Linked DNA regions of Arabidopsis thaliana. The protein of the gene in region 1 purifies or fractionates together with the protein of each later gene. This does not show direct contact. Each region holds a gene or a part of one and is shown on either strand. Other genes may lie near its edges.

Region 1 (5,035 bases):
AATAAAGAAACTGAGAATCCGTCGGGAATTCGGAGTTCTAGGAGTCGTCAACACGCTGGGAATATCCGTACATTCGCCGATCTGAACCGTTCTCCGGCTGATGGCGAGGGCAGTGATTCGGATGAAGCTAATGAGTATTATACCGGTGGACAAAAGAGGTACAATTTTCAACAGATCTGATCATAGTTTGGAAAATACTTAGATGATAATACTGTTGAGAAAGTGAATTAGGGCAACATGATCATGAACTTGAGCAATGTGCGTAGATCAATGATAGTTTAGGGATTGACCATATCTTGTGTATGTAGCTGAATTGTCTTTCTTGAAATTCTTATATAGCTGGAGAAAGTGTATGTTTGTGTCGCTAATAGAGTTTTGTTTTTGGATTGTGTAATGTGTTGTAGTGGGATGATGGTACAAGATCCTAAGAAAGTGAAAGATGTTGATGAACTTTTTGACCAAGCTAGGCAGTCAGCTGTAGACAGACCTGTTGAACCATCAAGATCAGCTTCTACAAGCTTCACTGGAGCTGCGCGTTTGTTGTCTGGTGAAGCTGTTTCGTCTTCTCCTCAGCAACAACAGCAAGAGCAGCCTCAAAGGATTATGCACACCATCACTTTCTGGTTGAATGGTTTCACTGTTAATGATGGTCCGTTAAGAGGGTTCAGTGACCCTGAAAACGCAGCCTTTATGAATGTAATGTCCAGATTTTCTCTAATTAGTAACTACAATTCCATGGAAATCAAGCTTGATACTTGTCTTTACTCACTTGGATAGTCTTTGAATCCCTAATATATATGTTGTCTTTTGCAGAGCATCTCAAGGTCAGAGTGCCCCAGCGAACTCGAACCAGCAGATAAGAAGATCCCTGTTCATGTCGATCTGGTCAGGCGTGGAGAAAATTTCACCGTAAGTCTCATTCCCATCTATCAATAATAATCTCGTTAACCTATTCTCTGGAGAAGCCACTCATAGGATTCTTTTAACGTCTGTATCTTTTGACTCACAGGAACCACCAAAGCCTAAAAATCCATTCCAAGGTGTAGGAAGAACCCTAGGAGCCAGCGGATCTGGTTCAAGTTCAGCACCACAAGCTTCATCTGCCCCAATGAACGTAGCACCAGCACCATCAAGAGGGCTAGTTGTAGATCCAGCAGCACCGACAACCTCTATCCAGCTCAGATTAGCAGACGGAACACGCCTTGTCTCCAGGTTCAACAACCACCACACTGTCAGAGATGTACGTGGGTTTATCGACGCTTCTAGACCCGGTGGCTCCAAAGAGTACCAGTTGCTAACCATGGGGTTCCCTCCTAAACAATTGACAGAATTGGACCAAACCATCGAGCAAGCTGGTATAGCTAATGCCGTCGTCATCCAGAAATTCTAGACTTACATAACTCATCCCTTCGATTTATGTCTCTCTTTTTTTTTTTTTGCTTTTGTGTTTTTGAACCTGATCGTTGACTTTAGTCTCTAACTATCTGGTCAACGCTCTAGAGGCTTTGGATTTTCGTAGATTTATCAAACTCTTTTCTTCAGATTTATTAATAACTTTAGCAGTTTAGCTTTTGCATAATTTATTTATTTCTTCAATCGACTAGCTACTACCATATCTTTTAGAAAGAATAATCGAAAAAATATTATCCAATGAGCAAATTACTTATATCCTTGGACTCGTGAATTGACGAATTGACCAGCTTCTGCATAAATTCCACACACATACGCTCTCCTAATATCAGGGACATAATGGTAATTAACGTACCTGCCCATCTGTCATTTTCCTTGTTCTCTTCAAAACCTTTTTTTTGGAAAATTAATTTTATTTTTTTGTAAACAGTTCTATAATGTCTGTTATTCGGAATCCAAAGAAAGCCAGAGATATTGAGATTTACAGTGAAAATCTACAGAGGAAGAGATAGCGAAGGACAATTATTAATTTATTTTCCTATTTTAGTTTTCATTACAACCTTAATCTTCGTGTTGTGTGTTCTGTAACTTCCCAGATTTTTTTTTTCTCTTTGCTGGGCTTCGTTGCCTTTTCCCCTTTTTTTCTCTTTCCTCTGCTCTCGATTCAGTTTAGGGCGAGAAAAAGTAGCTGTTTTTACAGGGTTTATCACAAAGATCCTTCCTTTTTTACTTGAAGCTCGCCATTTTCTTAGGGTTTCTCTTGATTTCATTCATCTCCAGTGCCCAGATCTCTCTCTCTACTCATCTGCCATTTGTAAGCTCCTCTTCTTCCTCCTCTCTCCAAAGTTTACATTTTGTTGTTTTCTCTGGATCTTCTTAAGCTAATCTTTGATTCTGTTTATGAGATTGTGTTTCCGATTATGAATTTAGGCTTTGTCTACATGCAGGGCTGTGTTCAATGATTAGGGTTTTGATTTAGAACCAAAGCTTTTGGGTTTTACTGGTTTAGTTTAGGCTTGTTGCGAAGTAGAGAAAAAAAGGGAAGGGTTTTGGCCCTTTTGTGGGGAGATAATTTAGGGTTTCTGTAATTATGATCAAACAGATATTTGGGAAATTGCCCAGAAAACCTTCAAAATCTTCGCATAATGACTCGAATCCAAACGGAGAAGGTGGGGTTAATTCATATTACATTCCCAATTCGGGTATTAGTAGTATCTCGAAGCCTTCTTCGAAATCATCCGCATCGAATTCGAATGGAGCAAATGGAACTGTTATTGCTCCTTCTTCAACGAGCTCTAACAGAACCAATCAAGTCAATGGAGTTTATGAAGCATTGCCAAGCTTTAGAGATGTTCCTACCTCGGAGAAACCTAATCTGTTTATCAAGAAGTTGAGTATGTGTTGCGTTGTGTTCGACTTCAATGATCCGTCGAAGAATCTGAGAGAGAAAGAGATAAAGAGACAGACTTTGCTTGAGCTTGTTGATTATATTGCAACGGTTTCTACAAAGTTGAGTGATGCTGCAATGCAAGAGATTGCGAAAGTGGCTGTTGTTAATCTTTTCAGGACGTTTCCTTCTGCGAATCACGAGAGTAAGATTCTCGAAACGCTTGATGTGGATGATGAGGAACCTGCTTTAGAGCCGGCTTGGCCTCATCTTCAAGTTGTCTATGAGCTTCTTCTTAGATTTGTGGCCTCGCCTATGACTGATGCAAAGCTTGCAAAGAGATATATTGACCATTCATTTGTCTTGAAGCTCTTGGATTTGTTTGACTCTGAAGACCAGAGAGAGAGGGAATATCTAAAGACCATTCTTCATCGGATATACGGGAAATTCATGGTGCACCGACCCTTTATCAGAAAGGCGATCAACAATATCTTCTACAGATTCATTTTTGAAACCGAAAAGCATAACGGTATTGCAGAGTTGCTTGAGATACTAGGAAGTATAATCAACGGTTTCGCTTTACCGTTAAAAGAAGAGCATAAGCTCTTCCTAATCCGGGCATTGATTCCACTCCACAGACCTAAATGTGCATCTGCTTATCATCAACAGCTTTCTTATTGCATTGTTCAGTTTGTAGAGAAAGACTTCAAGCTTGCTGATACGGTCATTAGAGGACTTCTAAAGTATTGGCCTGTGACTAATAGTTCAAAGGAAGTTATGTTTCTTGGAGAGTTGGAAGAAGTTTTGGAAGCAACTCAAGCAGCTGAGTTTCAGCGATGTATGGTTCCTTTATTTCGTCAAATCGCTAGATGCCTCAACAGTTCACATTTTCAGGTGCGACTCTCGATAAGTTGTTCATATAGTCTCGCAATTTTGCAGGTTATATTCAAAGTTGCTTCTTTTGTCAGGTGGCTGAAAGGGCTCTATTTCTATGGAACAACGATCACATAAGAAACCTGATTACTCAAAACCATAAAGTGATAATGCCCATTGTGTTCCCGGCTATGGAGAGAAACACACGGGGGCATTGGAACCAAGCAGTTCAGAGTCTGACTTTGAATGTGAGAAAGGTAATGGCAGAGACAGACCAAATTCTGTTTGATGAATGCTTAGCCAAGTTCCAAGAAGATGAAGCGAATGAAACCGAGGTTGTAGCCAAACGAGAAGCAACATGGAAGCTTTTGGAAGAGTTAGCAGCTTCGAAATCCGTAAGCAACGAGGCAGTGCTCGTCCCCCGATTTTCATCTTCAGTTACTCTTGCAACCGGTAAAACTTCGGGTAGTTGAACACTTTCTGCTCTCTATCACCGAGACATACTTTCAAACAATCCAGCAGAATTGTATCGATCCGTTCGAGCATCAGGATCAGTCCTTGAAGAAGATTAAGCACGATGATTAAGAAGGGCAATATCATCAGTGAATACTTAATTATAACATTTTTTTCAGGTTTATGGAATCATGGGTTCAATTGTTTGTTGCTTCTGATCCTTTTTTTTTCTTACTCAGCTCTTAGTTGAATAACAATCTGAGGTGTAAGAAATATGGCTTATAGATATAGTTCTTGAGAGGACGACTAAACAATTATTCGTATTTGTATTGTGGAATGAATTGTATTTTATGCTTTGAAGTTCATTAATTTAGCTCCCCTACTAACCAAATCATAACCGAAGTTATCGAATCTCGGTTTGGTTCGGTATATATGCAACGGCATTTTCGTAAACAAGTCATGTTTTTTTTCGTGTGAGTTTTAGAAAATACAAAAATCATATATAACACTAGATTTTAATTTAAAGTTAGTATAATTTTTTTTTTGCAAATTGTATCTATCTATAATATATTTTTATTTTATAGTTTACAATTGTTATTAAGTAACGTCCTGCCAAACCCGTCCCGCCAAACCTGTCCTGTAAAAAAATCATTTATTTATATTAATATTGATCTTATTTATGATATGTTTATAAATCATTCTCTAAATATTTTTGTCGATGCAGGACATTGAACCCACACATTGTTTGCCAATTGGTTAATATATGTTCATTTTTAAAATTTTGAATCATAAAATGTGACAGAAAAAATTAAGATTTTTTTAAACTCTATATATTATATAATGATGTTAAAAAATTGTGATATATCAAACTTTTTATAAGTTTAAATATTAATAATGTTTTATAAATTTTAA
Region 2 (3,953 bases), on another chromosome or scaffold:
CAATTAACGTAATCTACTAGTGCGATTTATGAGTCACTTATCTTTACAAAAATATTAAAGAAATAGATGAACAAATCTATATATACATTTTTACAGCTATTTTAGCAAATAAATCATGAACTTGGACTTATTTACAATCTAATGTCATTAGCATTAAATCTTTTTTTAAAAATAATTAATTTTATTTTAAATTTTTGATTTAAATTGTCAATCACATTATCAATCAAATTTAATCCCACCAAACTTCAAATCAATCCTTTAAAATTAGCATAAACATATTTGCTAACAATATTTTAAAACAAATTTTTTTGTTAAATAAATATTATTTTTACTGAACGTTTTTTGTTTAAATAAATAAATTTTGTATTTGAACTTATTTAATATGTCATGTCACTGACATTAATTATTTATTAATGAAAATATTTAATTAAAGATTTAAATCTTCTAAATCCTTGCTTTTAGAGTTATTATGTCATTACCTTATAAGCAAAAATATTAATTTTTTTAAATATTATTATTTATATATTTAAAATTTATAAAACATTATTAATATTTAAACTTATAAAAAGTTCGATATATTACAATTTTTTAACATCATTATATAATATATAGAATTTTAAAAAAATCTTAATTTTTTCCGTCATATTTTATAATTCAAAATTTTAAAAATAAACATATATTAACAAATTAGCAAAAAATGTGTGGGTTCAACGTCCCGCATCGACAAAAATATTTAGACAATGATTTATAAACATATCATAAATAAGATCAACATTAATATAAATAAATAGTTTTTTTACGGGACGGGTTTGGCGGGACGGGTTTGGCAGGACGTTACTTAATAACAATTGTAAACTATAAAATAAAAATATATTATATATAGATTCAATTTGCAAAAAAAAAATTATACTAACTTTAAAAAGTTAAATTGTCACCGCGGTATACCGCGGGATAAAATCTAGTACAACATAATTTCAGAAAAATATACAATAGTCCTTTTCTATCTCAACATCTTTTTTGGATCAAAACCAAAACAAACTTAAAACAACTTATCATTTTTTAACACAGTAGCAATTCATTCTTTCTTTCTATCTTTCTTTTTTTTTTTTTTTTGTGTGTGTGTGTGTGTGTTTGAGTGGTAAAAGTAGCAATTCATTCTGATTCGAGAGAACCACATTTTTTTCTATATTATAAACTCTTCTTAATTTTTCTATTTATCAAATATAGTATAGATTCTAAATTAACATTTGTTTAAGAAAATATAACAAGGTATATACGAAATATAGGAAAAATTTAAGCGTCTTTGTATATTATGATAGTAACATGATCTGAGTTTGTAATTTCATGATGTGTAATAATATAGTTGGTGTGTCTATCTCGTGATAAACTGTAGTACTTTTTTGAATATATGAATTATTGAACAATAAGATAATAATATAATATGATGGTGACAAACACAATCCTTAAGTAATTTCACATGTTCTTTTACTTTTCCACAAACATAAAATGTAACAAAACGTGTCAAACATTTCCTCCATTCTTATTCATCCTCCAAGAAACTTTGAACTTGACCGAGATTAGTAATAATCACTCGTGTATATAAATTCATCTCTTCATAATTTATCTGCCACATATGAACATAACCCAATCTGAAGATCAATCATAACCTTAAACCATCTCTCATAATTTTAGTATTTCTATTCTCACCACCAAAACTCGTTGATACATCACACCCCAACTGTTGTTACTCATGTCCTACAGATCGATTTACCGCACTCTTCGACCGGTACTATCATCTTCGGTACAATCCTCCGGTTTAGGAATTGGAGGATTCAGGGGACATCTCATTAGCCACTTGCCCAATGTTCGGCTATTGAGCTCTGACACGTCATCTCCGGTAAGTGGGAATAACCAGCCAGAAAATCCTATCCGAACGGCCGATGGTAAAGTTATATCCACTTATTGGGGTATACCTCCTACTAAGATCACTAAACCGGACGGTTCAGCTTGGAAGTGGAATTGTTTTCAGCCATGGGATTCATACAAACCGGATGTGTCCATTGATGTAACTAAACATCATAAACCCTCCAATTTCACTGACAAATTCGCATATTGGACCGTTCAAACTCTGAAAATACCGGTTCAACTATTTTTTCAGGTAATTTAATCAGAAATTTTAAATCTTCTTCATTTGTTCTTTTATTTTTAACATGATTTTGTTTTTTCAAAAATTGAATAATTTGATTTTTGAGTATAGAGGAAGCACATGTGCCATGCGATGTTGCTAGAGACGGTGGCTGCGGTGCCGGGAATGGTCGGGGGGATGCTTTTGCACTTGAAATCTCTCCGGAGGTTCGAACATAGCGGGGGATGGATCAAAGCTTTGCTCGAAGAGGCTGAGAACGAGCGTATGCATCTCATGACTTTCATCGAACTTTCACAACCCAAATGGTATGTATATATGCATGCATGTACCTTTTTAGTTTATTACCTTTTCTAAATAACACGTAACTTGTATTACATTTCTAATCAAGTTTGGTTTGACCTAGATCGGTTATCTAATAGAAACAGTTCTAACCTAAAACTTTTGGAATTGTGTAATTCATTTATCATTTGAACCGGTGTTTGAAGGTACGAACGAGCGATTGTGTTCACGGTCCAAGGCGTTTTCTTCAACGCATATTTCCTGGCTTATGTAATTTCACCCAAACTTGCTCATCGTATCACTGGATACTTAGAAGAAGAGGCTGTAAATTCTTACACTGAATTTCTCAAAGACATTGATGCCGGAAAATTCGAAAACTCGCCAGCTCCAGCCATCGCAATCGATTACTGGCGGTTGCCTAAAGATGCAACGCTTAGGGATGTGGTTTATGTTATACGAGCTGACGAAGCTCACCACCGTGATATTAACCACTATGCTTCGGTAAGGAGTTGTATAGTTTATTTGTCAAAATGATAAAACAATGTGATATTGGTATAAAATGTAAATTTCGTTACAATATGGAATTTTATGTGTGCAGGATATACAATTCAAAGGACATGAACTCAAGGAAGCTCCGGCTCCTATTGGATATCATTAAAGATTATGTGACAAAGTCACAAAGCTGTGTATACATCTATGAACATATGTTGTTGTGGATCTCCATGATATTTTTATTTTATGTTTTCGATTTATTTAAAACTGTTATTCGTTTTTATTAGCTCAATATGGATATTTAAACCATATTATTTTGTTACGATTTATGAACATAGTACTACTCATGTGTGTGTAAAAGATCATACTGCCTGGACACGAAGCGGATATCCGGAAAAATTATAATATTTGTTTTTTGATTCGTTTTAACCGAATACTTGATTTTGTGATTTGCTTCGATTCGAAAATTTCCGGATATCCGGAAATTCGAATATCCGATTTTTTTTGTGATATTTGCGGATATCTGCTTTGATACATATAAATAATAAAAAAAATCTGTAAACTATACAAGCATATCAAATATTCAATGTTTTTATTTAACATCCTTTCAAAATAAGTTCTAAATACCAAACATAACTGTTGTTGTTATCACCAGTCAACAAAATGTTATCAAATTAATTAAAACAAAAACAAAAACCGATAGTTTAAGATGCCATTAATCAAAACATAACATAAAAGAAAAATGATCAAACAAACATCTTAACATAAAAACAGAAGATAACAACAATACACAAACTATTTATGATATTTATATATAGACATAATTATATATTCTAATATATATATATATATATATATATATATATATATATATATATATAAATACGGATCGAAGCGGATATTCGATTTTTTAAAAAACAATATTTGTTATTTGCTTCGATTTTTATGAATACCATATTTTCTTATTTGCTTTGCTCCAAAATCTTACGGATGTTCGGATTTTTCAAATCGAATCAAATCGAATACCGAGTCAAAG

The links. Proteins that work in one complex are often made in the same cells at the same time.
Region 2: the proteins of ATB' GAMMA (region 1) and AOX1D purify together in Arabidopsis thaliana (affinity purification with mass spectrometry, with the first as the bait; one study listed by BioGRID). This does not show direct contact.

The regions. Positions count from the first base shown.
Region 1 is NC_003075.7:8,815,207-8,820,241, forward strand, and holds ATB' GAMMA (Protein phosphatase 2A regulatory B subunit family protein), read left to right. Parts: upstream 1-1,715; 5' UTR 1,716-1,752; intron 1,753-1,824; exon of another isoform or gene 1,825-1,840; 5' UTR 1,841-2,224; exon of another isoform or gene 2,225-2,357; 5' UTR 2,358-2,500; coding exon 2,501-3,691; coding exon of another isoform or gene 3,692-3,765; coding exon 3,766-4,143; 3' UTR 4,144-4,521; downstream 4,522-5,035. Other genes in the region: PUX5 (serine/threonine protein phosphatase 2A 55 kDa regulatory subunit B prime gamma), read left to right, coding at 1-158, 405-696, 814-909, 1,010-1,390.
Region 2 is NC_003070.9:11,666,367-11,670,319, reverse strand, and holds AOX1D (alternative oxidase 1D), read left to right. Parts: upstream 1-1,629; 5' UTR 1,630-1,750; coding exon 1,751-2,158; intron 2,159-2,257; coding exon 2,258-2,451; intron 2,452-2,631; coding exon 2,632-2,926; coding exon of another isoform or gene 2,927-2,959; exon of another isoform or gene 2,960-3,023; coding exon 3,024-3,083; 3' UTR 3,084-3,434; downstream 3,435-3,953.